Bombyx mori: one gene and its partner. The protein of the gene in region 1 binds, or shares a complex with, the protein of each later gene. Links are inferred from orthologs where the notes say so. Each region holds a gene or a part of one and is shown on either strand. Other genes may lie near its edges.

Evidence for each region. The genes of interacting proteins can lie anywhere in the genome.
Region 2: cell division control protein 45 homolog (region 1) and probable DNA replication complex GINS protein PSF2 share a complex: the UniProt entries of both Homo sapiens proteins name them as parts of the CMG helicase complex. The link is inferred for Bombyx mori from reciprocal best matches to the Homo sapiens genes CDC45 and GINS2.

What each region holds. Positions count from the first base shown.
Region 1 is NC_085122.1:1,050,995-1,059,210, forward strand, and holds the start of cell division control protein 45 homolog, read right to left. Parts: upstream 4,119-8,216; 5' UTR 3,982-4,118; coding exon 3,931-3,981; intron 3,856-3,930; coding exon 3,565-3,855; intron 3,108-3,564; coding exon 3,033-3,107; intron 2,894-3,032; coding exon 2,759-2,893; intron 2,603-2,758; coding exon 2,426-2,602; intron 1-2,425. Other genes in the region: RNA polymerase II-associated protein 1, read right to left, coding at 5,137-8,216. UniProt on the Homo sapiens protein: Required for initiation of chromosomal DNA replication. Core component of CDC45-MCM-GINS (CMG) helicase, the molecular machine that unwinds template DNA during replication, and around which the replisome is built.
Region 2 is NC_085116.1:1,522,147-1,530,291, reverse strand, and holds probable DNA replication complex GINS protein PSF2, read right to left. Parts: upstream 4,334-8,145; 5' UTR 3,801-4,333; coding exon 3,556-3,800; intron 3,115-3,555; coding exon 2,942-3,114; intron 2,669-2,941; coding exon 2,373-2,668; 3' UTR 1,909-2,372; coding exon of another isoform or gene 1,831-1,908; 3' UTR 1,710-1,830; downstream 1-1,709. UniProt on the Homo sapiens protein: Required for correct functioning of the GINS complex, a complex that plays an essential role in the initiation of DNA replication, and progression of DNA replication forks.

The DNA of each region.
Region 1 (8,216 bases):
GCGGTGATGCGCGTGCGCGCCCTCTCTGATGAGGCTGTCGGCCGGGGCGGGGTTGCACTGGCGGTGTCCCTGGACATCGCCAATGCGTTCAACACCCTGCCCTGGTCGGTGATCGCAGGGGCGCTGGAGTATCACGGCGTCCCTGCGTATCTCCGTCGGCTGATCGGGTCCTACCTCGAGGACAGGTCGGTCATGTGCACCGAGCACGGTGGGGCGGTGCTCCGCTTCCCCGTCGAGCGCGGTGTCCCACAGGGGTCGGTCCTTGGCCCTCTCTTGTGGAACATCGGCTACGACTGGGTCCTGCGGGGTGCCCTTAGCGCTCCTCTCCCGGGTCTAAGCGTAGTTTGTTACGTGGACGACACCTTGGTCGTGGCCCGGGGTAGGGACTTGCGCGAGTCTGCCCGTCTTTCCTGCGCGGGGGTGGCCTTCGTCGTCGGCAGGATCCGAAGGCTGGGTCTGGAGGTGGCGTTCGATAAATCCCAGGCCCTGTTGTTCCACGGGGCCCGGAGAGCGCCGCCTCAGGGGGCCCACCTCGTGATCGGAGGCGTTCGCGTCGAGATCGAGGCGACCGGGTTGCGGTACCTCGGCCTCGTACTGGACGGTCGTTGGAGCTTCCGTGCTCACTTCGAAAGATTGGGTCCCCGACTGATGGCAGCCGCCGGCTCGCTGAGTCGGCTGTTGCCGAACGTCGGGGGTCCCGACATGGTGGTGCGCCGCCTCTACACGGGGGTGGTGCGGTCAATGGCACTGTACGGGGCGCCCGTATGGTGCCACGCCCTGACCCGTGACAACGTCGCAGCGTTGCGACGTCCGCAGCGCGCGATTGCGGTCAGGGCGGTTCGTGGGTACCGCACCGTCTCGTTCGAGGCGGCGTGCGTGCTCGCCGGGACGCCTCCCTGGGACCTGGAAGCGGAGGCGCTTGCTGCGGATTACGCGTGGCGATGTGATCTCCGCTCCAGGGGGGAGCCGCGTCCCGGCGCGGCGGAAGTTCGAGCGCGGAAGCTTCAATCTCGGCGTGCCGTGCTCGAGGCGTGGTCTCGCCGCCTGGCGGACCCCGCCTACGGGCGACGGACCGTCGAGGCGATCCGCCCGGTCCTCTCGGACTGGGTGAATCGCGACCGAGGACGTCTCACCTTCCGAGCGACGCAGGTGCTCACGGGACACGGCTGTTTCGGTCGCTACCTGCACCTCGTCGCCCGGAGGGAGCCGACGCCGAAGTGCCACCATTGCAGTGGCTGCAACGAGGACACGGCGGAGCACACGCTCGCGTGCTGCCCCGCTTTCGCGGAGCAGCGCCGCGTCCTCGTTGCAAAAATAGGACCGGACTTGTCGCTTCCGACCGTCGTGGCTGCGATGCTCGGCAGCGATGAGTCCTGGCAGGCGATGCTCGACTTCTGCGTGTCCACCATCTCGCAGAAGGAGGCGGCGGAACGGGAGAGGGAGAACTCTTCCTCCCTCTCGGCGCCGTGCCGCCGCCGTCGAGCCGGGGGTCGGAGGAGGGCGTTTGTCCAGCTCCGGCCCCTATGAGGAGGCAGTCTCCTCCCGGTGATGGTCACGGGGCGACCTAAGGGGGCTGAGACTGCGCCGCACGCTACCGTCACTCTAGCGCGCTGGCACCAGGAGGACGGGACGACGCGTCGGCGGCTGCGGACTGCGATGCGGTCCGCATTTTCGTCGTCGCTGTCGTCGCCGAACACTGTGGAAGAGCAACCCGGTCGGCGGTGTATCGCGTTCCGACCCGGCAGGCTGGTTCTGGCCCAGCGGGGTATCCCGGAACACCAGCGGCATCGCCCGGGCGGCCTGAAGGGCCGCCGTACCGCGGAGACTGACGTCGTTGGTCGTCGACTATCGCCTCGACGACCCGTCGGTCGGGCGTCCTCGGGGTGGCGCCGCGTGTCTGGTTGTAGTGTTGACCGCGGGAACCCCCCTACTCTGACCGGGTTTTGACCCCGGACGGAGATCGGACGCCGGGTGTAAGAGTGCAGGGGAGTCGTTTAGTGGGTGGGCCCTAAATTCCTTGGGCCCGCGGTCTGCTCTCAACACCTGCAGATCGTTGAGTCTCACATACCCCGCGCGCCCCCTAGGCGCGGGGACCTCGTAGGAGGTTCGGCCCACGGCCCGGAAAAAAAAAAAAAAAAAAAAAAAAAAAAAAGTAAATTAACCCACTTACACAGCCCACTGAGTTTCTCGCCAGACCTTCCGATCCGGTGATGGATCCAAACCGATAGAAGCAGACCAGTGCTAGGGCTAGAGTTAGCAACGTCCACAGCTTAGAGCCCCGTGAGCTCACCTACTCTCTCGTTTACGCTGGCATAACCTCTAAAGGCTACCCAGCTTAAGTAATACCCGTGGCAATGTACAGTAGTTGTATCTCGTGCATGATATTGGTGTGTGCCCATATATTTATGTGCAGTAACATACTCACATGTGAAGGTAGTTGCGCGGCGAGATGTCGATGCAGCGCATGTGCATCAAGCAGAGCTTGTGCAGGGGAGCGTGTGTGAGTGGCAGCATACGCACTGACAGCTATGCATCCGGCCCACGTGTACTCCACTCCGCTGCGACATAGCAGCCAGGCCAGCTCTACTGCTATGCAAGCACTCTAATGCAAATGTATTATTAGATTAAGACTTATCTGTAAATAATTGTCAAATTCATATTACAAGTGAGATTGATACAAGACTGGATCTACTTTATTCATTAATGTCCATAATTATTGTTAACACAGTTCAATAGGTTTATCAGACGTTTTACTCACCGGTTTACCATAATATGAGAATTGAGTGTAGTTAAACATAAGATCGTTTCGTTTTGTTTCCCATTCTCTACGTTGACGCCGTCTCTCGACAAAAGCTTCTAGGTCTTCTCGACCACTTGGCATTTCTTCTTCGTTCTGTAATTATTTTTAATATCTTCACACTGACTTCAAATTTTAAATACCATTAAATTTTTATTGTAAACTAGATTTTTAAAAACTTTTGGAGTTTGCAGCATTGCAAAATAGTCTTAAATCAGATATTACAGTTTCGTACCTCATCATCATCATCTCTGAATATATCATCAAAATTAGGAATGTTCTCTTCTTCATCACGGTACACCAGTCTCACCTGTAACAGAACAAAATATATATTTCTACCTACTATCTAGTAATCTAGTGGGGTTGTACTAACTTCACTGAACATGTTTTTTTTTCTTTCTAAATGTTAAAACAATAAAGCCATGTTAGCTTCTAAATTCCCTTCCTTTATTTGAGGTCAAGTCTTTTGATTCTGTTCTGTTGAAACATTTTGCTGCACTTTGTGTCATATCCTAACATAATGATTATGTACTTTGTCAAATTTAGGCTCTAAGCTATCTCTCTATCTCTAACTAACTAATCTAGTCTTTTGAACAGTTATTCTTGTTTATTCACCCAAACTTCATATGAAATGGAGTGGATTAAGAACTTTTTTCATTTGTTCACCCATCCATAAGCAAGTTTATGTCTGTCTAAAAATTCAATTCCCAAATCATTGCCAACATAAAGTATTTATAACATCTGCTGCTCTCTCTAGTTCCACTAACCTGTCCATCGCTATAAACATTGCAGACATCAGTCGGTTTATGGGAGTCCAGCACAAAAAATACCACATCCTCCTCGGGCTGTAAGATATCGACCAGGTCTATAGTACCTCCGCAGTTCACCAACACTACGTACTTGACTTCTTCATTGTTTTCTTCGTAAGCAGTCTTCAATTCAGAAATACCCCCCACCGGCACTAGCGTATATGATATATTATCACTCTTGAATAATCCTTGAAGTATTTTACATGTACATATTGCATCTACATCATAATGCACTAATAATAACACGCGCTGGAAGTAAATTAACAAAAATACAATTTTCAGGTCAATATTTCACGAATATTTATCTTCAGTTTTAAAGCTTACATTGCCTAAAAGGAGATTGTAAAAGTCATTTCTGAGGTCCTCTATAAACATTTTTGCCGTACACAGGAACGAATAACTCAGGAAATAACCATTTTCCTATGAGTGTTAGAAATTTTTAACATATAAAAAACATTGAACCACCATTGAAATTGAACACCTGCGGCTTCTGTCATTAACTTGTCAATAATGTCAATATTTTGTTCTTGTTGACATTTTGAAACTAACTGTTAAGTAATTTTCCCGCGTAAACCAGTTGTCAACTTCATATATTTGCACGGCCGTCGACTGGGTTTAAGTAGAATAGTTATTTAGTTATTTTATCCAGTAGAATGCGGCCATTCTACTAAGACTTCACAATGGCTTCTAAGAACCAGACTAGTATTTCAAGACATTTTTTGTATTTCCCCGCTCTTGAGCACTTGCTGCCTAATAACAATTTTTTTTTTATAAATTAACACTTTCTTTTCATAAACACGAAAACATGCAAAAATTTACATGAGCTACATACCAAACAAGAAGATGGTAATTTAATTTTTGTTGTTGCCATTGGATTTATCTTTATTTCACTCCGGAATAAAAATAGGTACTTTATTTCTGATCCTCCTACGAGGTCCAGACGCCTACGAAACGACTCTCCTGTACTCTCACCCAGGCGTTCGAAGCCCCCTCCTGTTACTTCTTCAATTAAATTAATATAGCAATGGGTTATTTGGGTACCACTATATTACAAATAATATACGCCGCGAAGGATTCACGCGGTGCTTGAAGGACGGGACGGAATTAATGTTTCGTCGACAATTCAAGAATTTCGACCTCATATTTTAACGAGGGTGGTGGGGCTTAAGATTGGAACAGAAACGACTTACCGAAACGGGAAAAACAGGGGATATTAAGGGTTAATTAAATTAAAATAATTTAATTCATATTGAAAATTCAATCCTTTATTACTTATTACAAAAAGCCACGTTCGCCATGGGTAGTTAGAGAAGTCATAAAGGCTTTCGTATACTATAGTTGAGAGTTTACATTGAATAATGTAGCATGTGAGTTCATCGTGAGTTGATCTACAGGAACAAAAATCAATTTTGTCCACACAAATCAGGTTAATTGGAGAAAATGCTTCCTGAAGTTTAAAATGAATACCGTCAAAATATCTTATTGACAAAAATGTCAACAAGAAAAACGTTACATTGTATTTTAGTAATTTCAAGTGTTTTGTATCTGAGATCGATTCTTGAATATGTGCACGTGATGACTCGCAATTTTATGCATTATTGTATCCGGTCGTAGTAAATTACAGGATAGCGCGCGATGATAAGATTTAATCAAAGATTCGTCCGTCTCTTCTGGATAAAGATACTCATTTACTTCATAACAAAGTAGTTGTTCCGGGCAATCTAACGCCCGGAGACATCCAGCATATTCCGACCATATCAATTTCCTCCATTTAACATTATGCTTTTGAGCTAAAGGCACCAATACACATGCAGAAAACACGTCATCTCCATAGCTGACCGCTTGGAATTGTTCTAGAAACTGTGTGTAGAAATCTTGGAAGTTGTTCAAGCCCGTTAATTGTTTATCGAAATTGAAGGCTGATTTCTTTTTGAAAAGGACATTGGTGCATTTCTGCAGTAACATTCTAATTTTTGGTTGCAAGAATAACGAGTTGTCACATAAAAACACGCACATGATTCGACAAAATCTATCTGTTACATCAATATCATTGACTAAATCAGAAAAACAGAGTTCGTTAAACAATATCCATTCTAAGCTACATGTTATTATAAATTCCTTTTCGGTCGCTATTTGCGCTGACATTTTCTGGGCATGATCTCCGGAAACATGGGGAATCGACTCCGCCTCCTGATTTTTACTGTATAACATCAAAATTGGCAAATAAATCCAGTCTCTTGGCAAAATTGGCTCCATCCATTTTCTTAACACAACATTAGCACCTGTATCTTTGTAATTCAAGTTAATAACTCTACGGTAACATTGTCGTATGTCTTCTATGGCAGTTAAAGCTCTTGAGAATCCGTCTGCATCAGTCAAATTGACAAGATTTAACAACCTTTCGGCCGTGAACCAATCTTTGTTAAAAACGATACTTTCAAATAAGAAATCTAGTTCATATTTTTTATCTACCCTCAATGTGTAACACAATTTGTTAGCTACTGCATACATTACATCCTTTTTGCTTTCATCAACATTACACATAACAGATAATTTCATAACGTAAAAAACAAAATTAGTTTCCATTCTAGTGAACCAATTATCTGAAAGACTAGGAACACATTTAGATAATCTTTGCAAATAGTTCCAAACATGGTCTAAGAATATTCTAGAGATTTCTTTTTGATTGACTATTGTCAGTAATTTGAAAAGTGACATCAGCAGAGGTATGGGAGATGCAACTTTCAGTATTGGTAAAACTTTTTGAGCAGAATCAATGACAGTGCATTTTAGACTTATTAAGTTCTTAACTGAATACAAATCTTTATTTTCAATTTTTGAGAGCAAATTAGAGCAGGAACTAAGGTTGTTAATCACATTTTGAAATCCTTTAGAATAAGACAGTTGTTTCAGGGCATCACTCACGAACTTCACAGGCAATTGTTCAATTTCAATAACAGTATAACAGCAATCTAAAGCCGAGCATAAAATTCTCAGATGCGCACATGTATAATGTTCCATTTGCGATAACTGACCAAACCATTTCAATAGCCCTTCCTTCAACAACTTATAAACTTCAGTCTTGAAAGTAAGAAAATCATTTAAATTATGTTTCAGTATGTTATTTATCAGCTGCAAGACCACAGCTGCATGTGTTGCTGCCAACACAGAAGCTTCCACATTAATGTCTGTACCCTGAACGTGTTTGTATAAAGCTGTCAGTATGACTGGACACAATGAAATGGCACTATCATAGCTTAGTCCAAAATAAAGTAAATTTGATAGTATACAATATGACTCAGTCTGTATTCTTAAGCCATAACTTCTGTCAACTGCTGAACTCAGATACACAGAAATTGGTGCTAAAATATTGTATTTCATTAGTAAAATATTGCAAATTTCTTCAGTTTGTAGACTTAGAACTCTTAGTAGCTTTATAGCTGCTAAAACTGGTTTACCATTATATACAACTTGTGGTTTGAAGACAAAATTGACACCTGTCACCGGAACAAAATTTGTTATTATAGAGTTCATGAGGTGCTCCATTTCACAGATTCTTTTGGCAGTCTCGACAGAATCTCTACCTAGTCTTGTTAATATCTGTAAGCAATACTGTACACAGTTGAAGCTTGGTTTTATTGACTCTAATATATAGTATATCCTTTGCAGTATATCTGTTCTTAATAGGGCTGCAATTAAATCAATCTCTGCTAAATGAAAGTCTTTTAACTCTGCTTCTTTTGATTCTAGTTCCTCTATTTCTGATTTATCATTTTCAAAGCAAGGCTGCAGGTTTCCTTCTTCAAATCCTATCAATGCATCGAGCGACGCTTCATCTAACTTGTTGTACACTAAATTTCTCATTGCTTTCAAAGCAGGTTCAAGAATTATAACTTTATTTTCATCCATTGCAATTCTTATGATGAAAAACAACTTGCTCAATGGTATTTCTATAATGTCTTTGTAAGTTCCAGCACTATGATACTGGAGGATACCAGCAATTGTATTTAAGGCCATAACTCTCTGCTGTGTAATAGTTGACCGTGTCAACTCAATTAACTCTGTGATAGTATACCCAGGACGGTGCGGCTCTTCACCGTGGTGATATAAAGTTTTAGTCATATCAGTGTATTCCATTGTATAAGGTAGTAAATATCCTTTGAAATCAAACCTCGCTTCATAAGGCTCATCAGGCTTAATGTTTTTACTTTCATCAAGTCCTTCCATCCATTGAAGCTTGTCTTTCTCTAGCGAGTCGAAATGCAGCCAATTTTGTATTTCAGGGTGAGAAAGAACATCATTCTCCCATAATGTATCATTTTCAATTTCCTGAGTGCTTGTGTCCATTTCTACATTTTGGTTCACAGTAGCTAGCTTATTTATATCATCTCTTTCATTCAACTTTAGTGTTTGTCGAGTTGAGTTCTCATTTTGCATTCTCCGTGATTTAATAAAGTCAACCACTTTAGGATCTAAATTAGAGAATAGTTTTTGCTGTTCTTCTAAAATTTCTTTTTCGGACATCTTACTTAGAATTTTTATATTTTCATTGTGGATGTCATCAGAGTTTTCTGAAGTCAATATGTAACTTCTATCTGGCAGGTTTATGG
Region 2 (8,145 bases), on another chromosome or scaffold:
TCAGAACACAACTTTTATAAAGTGGCACCACACTATAAATCTCTTTTAATGGCCACCGCTAATTACACAGGTATGCAATGAAATCCTCCTTTAAAATTTTTTGTCATAAATATGACGATTTAAATGTTCTGAATCTATACCCCTTGGCCGATTTTTTCCATCACGTCTAGATTTTTTGATATGTTTTTTTTTTCAAACCTTTATGGAACTCAAACTACTTATGGAATATTTGTGCTGATTTAAAAGTCGTCGCTATACTCACCGGATTACAATGAGGGTACACAAAGTTTTGCCGTTTTCTTTGTGAGTGGGACAGTCACGCAAGATAAAAACTTTAAATCCTGGGCTTAAAAATGTGTCTCAGAAACCTTTGGTGCCAAGTGAGAAAAAATTTCTGCCACCACTCACATAAGGTTGGGACTCAAGAAAAACTATATCTAAAATTAATATCAATGAATAATTTCAATATCTAAAAACCAAAATTCCTCGAATCAGTGACGCAAAATTGAAGGAAGAAATTTTTGTAGATCAACAGATACTTACGTGAGCTAATGAAAGATGAAAATTTTAATTCGAAGTTGAACGAAGCAGAAAAAAGAGCTTGGGCGGCTTTTGTGAAAGTTTGTCATAATTTTCTTGGGAACAGAAAAAGTGAGAACTACTGACAAATCATTCGGGAGCTTCTTTTTGCTTATAAAGCTTTAGGATGCAATATGTCACTCAAGATTTATTTTTCCGACTCTCTTTTAGATCTCTTTCCTGAAAATCTTGGAGCCGTATCAGATGAATATGGTGAAAGGTTTCATCAGGATATAATGCACATTGAAAAACGCTACAGTGGGAAATGGTCAGCAGCAGTGCTTGCTGATTTCTGTTGGTCAATTCGCTGAGAAACTCCAATAGAAACGATGACAAATAAAAAAACCACAAAATAAATCTTCTCACCATATAATGAGATAACTGACCGATATATATTCATTTTGTGACTATAATTTCAGATTTTTCACTGTAAAACTTAGACCGAAATATGTTTTCATTTCGTTATGATAATTGATATTTTAATAATATTGTTTGTTAATTAAATAAATATTATATGGGAATCTACGTGTGGTAACTAATTGTATGTCAGATTCCGTGTTTGGAGCACAAAATATAATGAATTCATCTATGAAAAAAAAGTAGAAAAAAATAATTTTTTTTGTAGACCTGTTACATATCGCACCCAGGCGACGGGACAAGGCAGCCGCCGTCGCCCAAAATTTATCTTGTCGGGTCCTCAACATCCGCTCTCGGTGCTTTTAGGTCTTTAAGCAGTGGTCATTGTCTTCGTCGAATTCATCGATTACTGACGCGTTGACGAACTGAACTGAAGAGTTCGACGTGCGAGCTAGTCCATAGACACAGCCCACTTAATTTCCCGCCGGATCTTCTAAGTGGGTCGCGGTTCCGATCCGGTGGTAGATTCTGCGAAGCACTGCTTTTGTTAGGGCTGGTGTTAGCATATTTTTCCAGGTTGTGCCCATGAGCCCACCTAATGGTCCGCGCGTAGTTGAACAGCCCCGTAGGCTACCGAAGATTAGGCAGTGAAAAATAAAAACTGTTGAGATTTGAGGTTTCGGTCTAAAACAACAGGTTATCAAATGTTTAATATAATAAGATCAACTCTAAATGCATGCAATTTTAAATATCTAAAAAGAATAAAAACAAGGTTACAATAAGTGTTTTTAATGTTATTACCACTTTTTGATTGTTACCAACCACTTTGTTACAAAATCATTAAAAAGTATTAAGAACTTACTAAACTTAAACTACACTTAACTACACTTAAAACTATGTATTTTGAGAGCTCCCTGATTGACTGAAGGTTGAACTATTTAAATTGAGCGATGGTGCTGTCTTTTTCGTTTTCTGTAAAACAAAAAGTTGATTATTTGTTACAAAACTGTACTGCAAGTACATATAAGAATAATTGCACTCAGATCTTCAATTTTAAAGCCCACCCAAATAACCTTGCTAAGCATCTAACGGACAACCAAATGACAACAAGAAGACTGAAGAAGAGTGTCTTCAGATCTACTAGATCCAGTGTAGATTCACTGATATGGACATTGTGCGTGTACTGCCTATCAAATTATTTTTGTCAAAACTACAGTTGAAAGTCTAAAGACAGCTTACTGTAATTTACTCTATAAAACAAATAAAAAAATCTTCAATACCGAATTTAAGTTTAACAATGATATTGATAAGACCAGGTTTACAAACTCCAAATTACCGTAGTTACTAAACCTTAGGTTAGCTGAACTCACTGCACACTCACAGTTTTAGTTTTGGTAACACACATCATCATCACAACAATGTGATTTGCCCTTCTACTAGGACACGAGAGTGAAGTCTAGAACAGAAATCCAAGGATCCTTCAGAGTAGAATGCATAAATGTGTCACGTATAAGATGGTCCGAAGGATGGTACATACATTCAGAGATATTCGTAAAAAGGACAAAGTGGAGATGAAAATACAGAAGGATGTGTCTAAAGGAGAGTATATTACAATTTGTCACACATGTTCTTACCATTTGCATCCTTAAGAGGTTGTCCATAGCAGCAGGTAGAAGAGGTTTCACTGAGTTTATTTCCATCATTGTTAAATGATCTAATCTGCCATAGCCACCTGAAAATGTCAATTATAAATGTCCTGAATTTAACTTATGACTGAGTAAGTCACATTCTATATTTTTTTCTTATCTTAATTTAAGCATACCATTCTGGTGTTAAGTTGTTACCGAAGACCACATATCATCATTATAGGCTTTCTGATCCATGCAGGTTTACAATATCATCAGTTACAATAAAATAAAATATAAAATCCTCTCAATTCAAAAATCTTTAAAATGTAAGTTAAAAGTACTTAAAAGTAAAGTATTTTAAAGGAATCATTACAAACCTCCAGTTTTCATCAATGCATCCATTGATGTTCGTAACTTAGACATTCTTATATCCCAGATGTCTTTGATAATAGTCTTTATTTCTGGTGCATTGGGAACATCTTCGGCAGCTGAACCAAGTATCAGTTTGGCTTCCACCATATAGTGTTCATTTGGCATCTTTGTGAAGAATCTGGTAGTTTGATAATTTTAGGAAGATTTAATGTGAAAACTTTGACTACTACAACTACTTGCTTTATCTTGCTGATAATTCTCAAACGCCATTTAATGATAGATTTTATATTTACACACCCTTTCATGAGTACTGGCAAAGATATATTTATTGACCAATGAACTTCAAGTTTTTTAATCATGTTACAATTTGAGATTTATTAACAGGTAGACCACTAATAGTTATTGTTTAGTATCAGTGTTAGAATGGATGGCTCTAGAAGGTATTTATAACATAAACCATAATAATAAAATATACTTTTTGATTTAAAATTAAGACATGGAAGTTGTATAAACAAAATATTAAATTGTATCTGGAATAAACTGGACCACCTAGAAAGATCAAAGTTTTGAAACTGGTGTGTTTTGTAAAAAACCAAATTTATTAAATATATTGACAAACCTGGAACGCTTTTCCTCTTCTTTAATATTCTCCAAAACTTCCACGTCCATCCAGTCAGGAGGGATAACATGGCACTTTTGTTTCTGCTTTAGCATGATAGCCAGCCAGAGTGGTACGTTCACAGGTAAACCAGCACGAAACGGACCAAATTCACCGCATATCAAGTATATTTTATCATGGGTAAAGTTTGGTGTTATACTGATTATCCGATTCTCACCAATAAACTCGATTTCATAAGGTTCCATTATTATTTTTATGGTTTTAATAATTTATAATCATTTAATAATATACATATATTTAATTTAATTCATTTTGGTTAAAAATTTAGGAATATTACCTACCTTTATCATGTTTTTATTTATCATATTTTTTTAGGTATTTTATATTATGACCTGGTAACTAAGACTTTTAAGTCATGTCTTATTTTAATTTATACTCTTATTTTTATGAAAAATGATGAAATGAAATGAAGATAATTAATTTGAGACATTAATTAACTGGGATGAAATCAAATGAAATGAGATGAGATGATATGGGATGAACTATAATCTCAGTAAAATGGTGGTCATTTACTGAGATTTTTTCGTTGGACTTTTGGAGGATCCCGAGAAGTGACGTCCAGCGGCTTTGTTTCATTTTCCCACATTTTTGCACTTTCACAGATATTAAACAGTTAATAAACCACCATTATTACACATATAAACCCAAGAAACACTAAATAGACAAAATAAAACAAAACACACAACTTCACTCCTCGCGTTCCCGCCAAAAAGTCGCCTTATCTTTATCACTGATCTCAAACGTCATAGAGCGAGATTAGTAGACTTGCCAGCTAAAATCGGTACATTTGTACTATTTTGTACCCAAAATCGGTATTAGTCAAAAAATATACAATATTCAATCAAATGCGTTTATTTATTGAAAAAAAAACTTACATACTAATTTATAACAATCATATTTAAGAATAAATATTTTTTATACCAATATTGTTTGGCCATAGCTGCAGTCATCGTTGAATTAATTTCAAAATCATAGCAATTAGCTGTATTATAGAGTCGTTTTGCATGTAATAGACCAGTGATTGACTCAGTAGACAGCCTATTTCGCTGTTTTGTTTTCAAAAGAATAAATATGCGTTCAACGTTAGCGGATGAATAGGAAAGTGATAAAATATTAAGGATGAAATTAGACAACAAAGGAAACATTTGAGTTTCATCGCCACGTTTTAATAAAGTTACTTCTTCCCAAAATAGTTCTACATCATTAGGAAATGTTTTGATTTATTCACAATTTCTTAAAATGCGCTACTCTATCAATTTCCTGGAAATCATTGCTCTGAACAATATTGGGAAAGAGCCTACTTTTAAGTAGTATCGAAGTAGTCTTGCCAATTTTAACATGTTTTGGATCAATAATGTCTAAAAGTGTCAAATCGGTAGAAAAATCGGGAGAATTTCCATGTATACTCTGAAATCGTAGAAAAATCATTTTATTTCGGTATTTCAATAGATCAGTGCCCATATCGGTAGATATACCGAAAAATCGGTAGGTTCGAGACCACTGATATTTACTCTTGTTTATAGAGCTTAATTGTTTGACTTTGAAACTCAAATAGTAAGTGTTCTATGCTTTGACATACTGACATAGTGATGCAGATTTTTTGGCGGTAAGTGACCACCATTTTACTGAGATTATATTTCATCCCAGTTGATTAATGTCTCAAATTAATTATTTTCATTTCATTTCACTCCATATTATCATTTTTCATAAAACTATGAATATAAATTAAAATACGAAAATACGAAAAATGACCTAAAAGTCTTAGTTACCAGTTCATAAAATCCCTTAAAAAAAAGGAAAATTGGCGGGAATAACGTTTAAATAATACGACTTAGTAGATCGAATTTATGAAATAAGTTTCATAAATCCAGTGTTTTAAATAGCTGTATGAATGGCGATACTGGAAGTAGGTAATTAAGTTTTAATTTACATGTTTTCTTTAAATTTGCTTATTTAAGCGTCATCTATGCTACATTTAAATAACTGACATAGATGGTTTGTTTTCACTAAAGCTGGCGTAGTTCAGATGATTGAACTAGGTGGCACTAAAATAAAAAAAATCTACTTTAAAAAAAATCGTAGTTATAGAACAATTTTAAGTGGAATCGTAAATAAAGAACATTAAATAAGTGGGTATTATTTTTGTGAATTGCTTAATTTAAACTCAAATTGCATAAGTTAGCCTTACATGTAATTTAGTCGTTAGCATAATCCTGAAATAAAACGCGAAACTCGCTCACTCTTCATCTCTCTGCATAAAAGTAAAACATTGAAATTACCATTTAAAATTATTGACGTCATTTACGAGTGGCGATCGATGCAAATCGTTTTGGCAGAGTGCAAACTCCTAATTACTCCTCGTAAATTAGGGTAGCCGGTTGACAATGTCTCAGACGGGTGATATTTATGGCTCTATATTATTGGTGGGGACTCACCCCCTTGTGTCAGAGAGAACAGTAAGTTTATGCGTCTCTTAGTTTGGAAAAAACACATACATTGCTCTGTCTATAAACTGATCACTATGTATTTCATTCGCCCAATTTCAGTGCTAAGTCTACTATTTCGTCGGAGTTTTTAGTAACGCACCTATTCGACACTATGAAAATGGCAATAAATTTTATTTTGAACGAATCATATTTAATCTGTAGAGTCTATCTTTTATCATAGAAAATACTAATATTTCATTTATTTTCTGGTAAACCTTTGAAATATGTAAACATACTACAGTGAAATAATCACAAGAAGAAAAAGCATTCAGCGATTTCACGAAACATAAAAACGTCACAGATAAAAAACATCTTGGAGATTTATAAAAGTAACCTGTCTTGAATGCGACAAATAAATAACAGATGTGTCTGCACGAGCGAAAAACACATTGTCTCCGAGCAACAACATTCAACATCTTTCTTCTTAAATCTGCATACAAATTCGTGAGATCGCGCCCGGAAATTCAGCTAGTCATTTAAAACCCATTCTGTTTTAAGGCGTTTTTTCGCGCCATAAATATGTCAAATGTGACATTCGATGCATCTAGCGACATCTATTTTCAATACGTATGTACTTCCATTACGTTTACTAGTTTCAAATTTCCACAAAAGGTGGCGGTTAGAGTCACAACTAACAGTATTTTCCAAGTTCTTAATTAAACGAAACTAATGTTTTTTGTTTGTAACATGTCCAGAATAAATTCATTAAATACACCTATTAGTTCAAAATACACAAAAGTCATTTGAGGTACGTTGACGGTGCTATGGTAGAAATATTTCATTCAAGTGCAAACAACAATTAATTTATACATCACTTCTTTTTTTGTCTTTATTATCCAATCGTCTGGAAGAGATCCCTTCTTATAAGATGAACTTTCAATTCTAATATTATGGTATATTTACTAATTTATGTATATTAACTATGATATCACAAAATTTCGACTCGACTTATAAAAGACGCGTCGATTCATAGAAAATCATTGATTTATGAAGGGGGTATAGTCAAAACAAAGATAAAAATGAAACGGAAGTGCTGTTCCAAAGAGGAGATATTTTTTAAACTGCTAATTACTCCGGTAAGAACAATGAACTAACATTTTCATATATCTACGTCCCTTGTGGAGTGTAAAGTGAATTATTGTAATTACGCTTGGCCTCTGCCGCTTGCACAGAACTTTCATACTATCTTATGACTGTTGTTACGAACTTTTGTATAAGTATACAATTTTATATATTTCATAGTTTTTCACTGACTCCTGTAAGCATTATTTGTTGACGTAATTTTAACTATTTTTACGGCTTAATCTCTGTGGTTGCTTACAAAAATTCAAATGTAATAAGCTATGGTTGCTTATTCGTACGTGGCGACGAAAACTGTAAAGATTTCGAATTGTATTAATATAATTGCTTTATTGCAATTGCTTTATTTTAAATAAATGGGAGATCAACGTGAACGTAAAAAGTATGTTTAATTACGTTTACAATTCGTGATAACTGACGAAAATACTAATTTTAACAAGTTCTTATTAGAAGTTTGTAACGAGATATTTCGCCGACGTTAACACGTCTGACTAACCTAATAATTAGCAAACGCATCAAGTTCCGATGTCAAAACTACTTAAATAAGTTCGCTCTAATATCCTGACTAATACTAACAGGATAAAAAAGATGAAATTAATTGTTCGATTTGCTATAGAAGTATGTTTTTTTAGTTTTTAAACTACTATTTATCTATATTATTTAAGACAGCGATTTGTTCAAATGACTTGCGCGCTACCTGCGCCATATTTATGGTACTATGATAAAGACTTATTTTTAGTATCACATCACTCATATCACTCTAAATTCTATTTTAATTCATTATCTATCTGTGCTTGATCTTATTTTCATGATGAATATCTATTTATATATGGAAAGACAAAGAGTTATGTAAAAAATATATTTTCTCAATTGTTTGTCAATGTTTTTCTCTTCTTGTAGGAGCTTTAGTTTTATTGATTTTGTATTAGTATTTTTTGTTTATGGTTCTAGCACACCAAAAAGA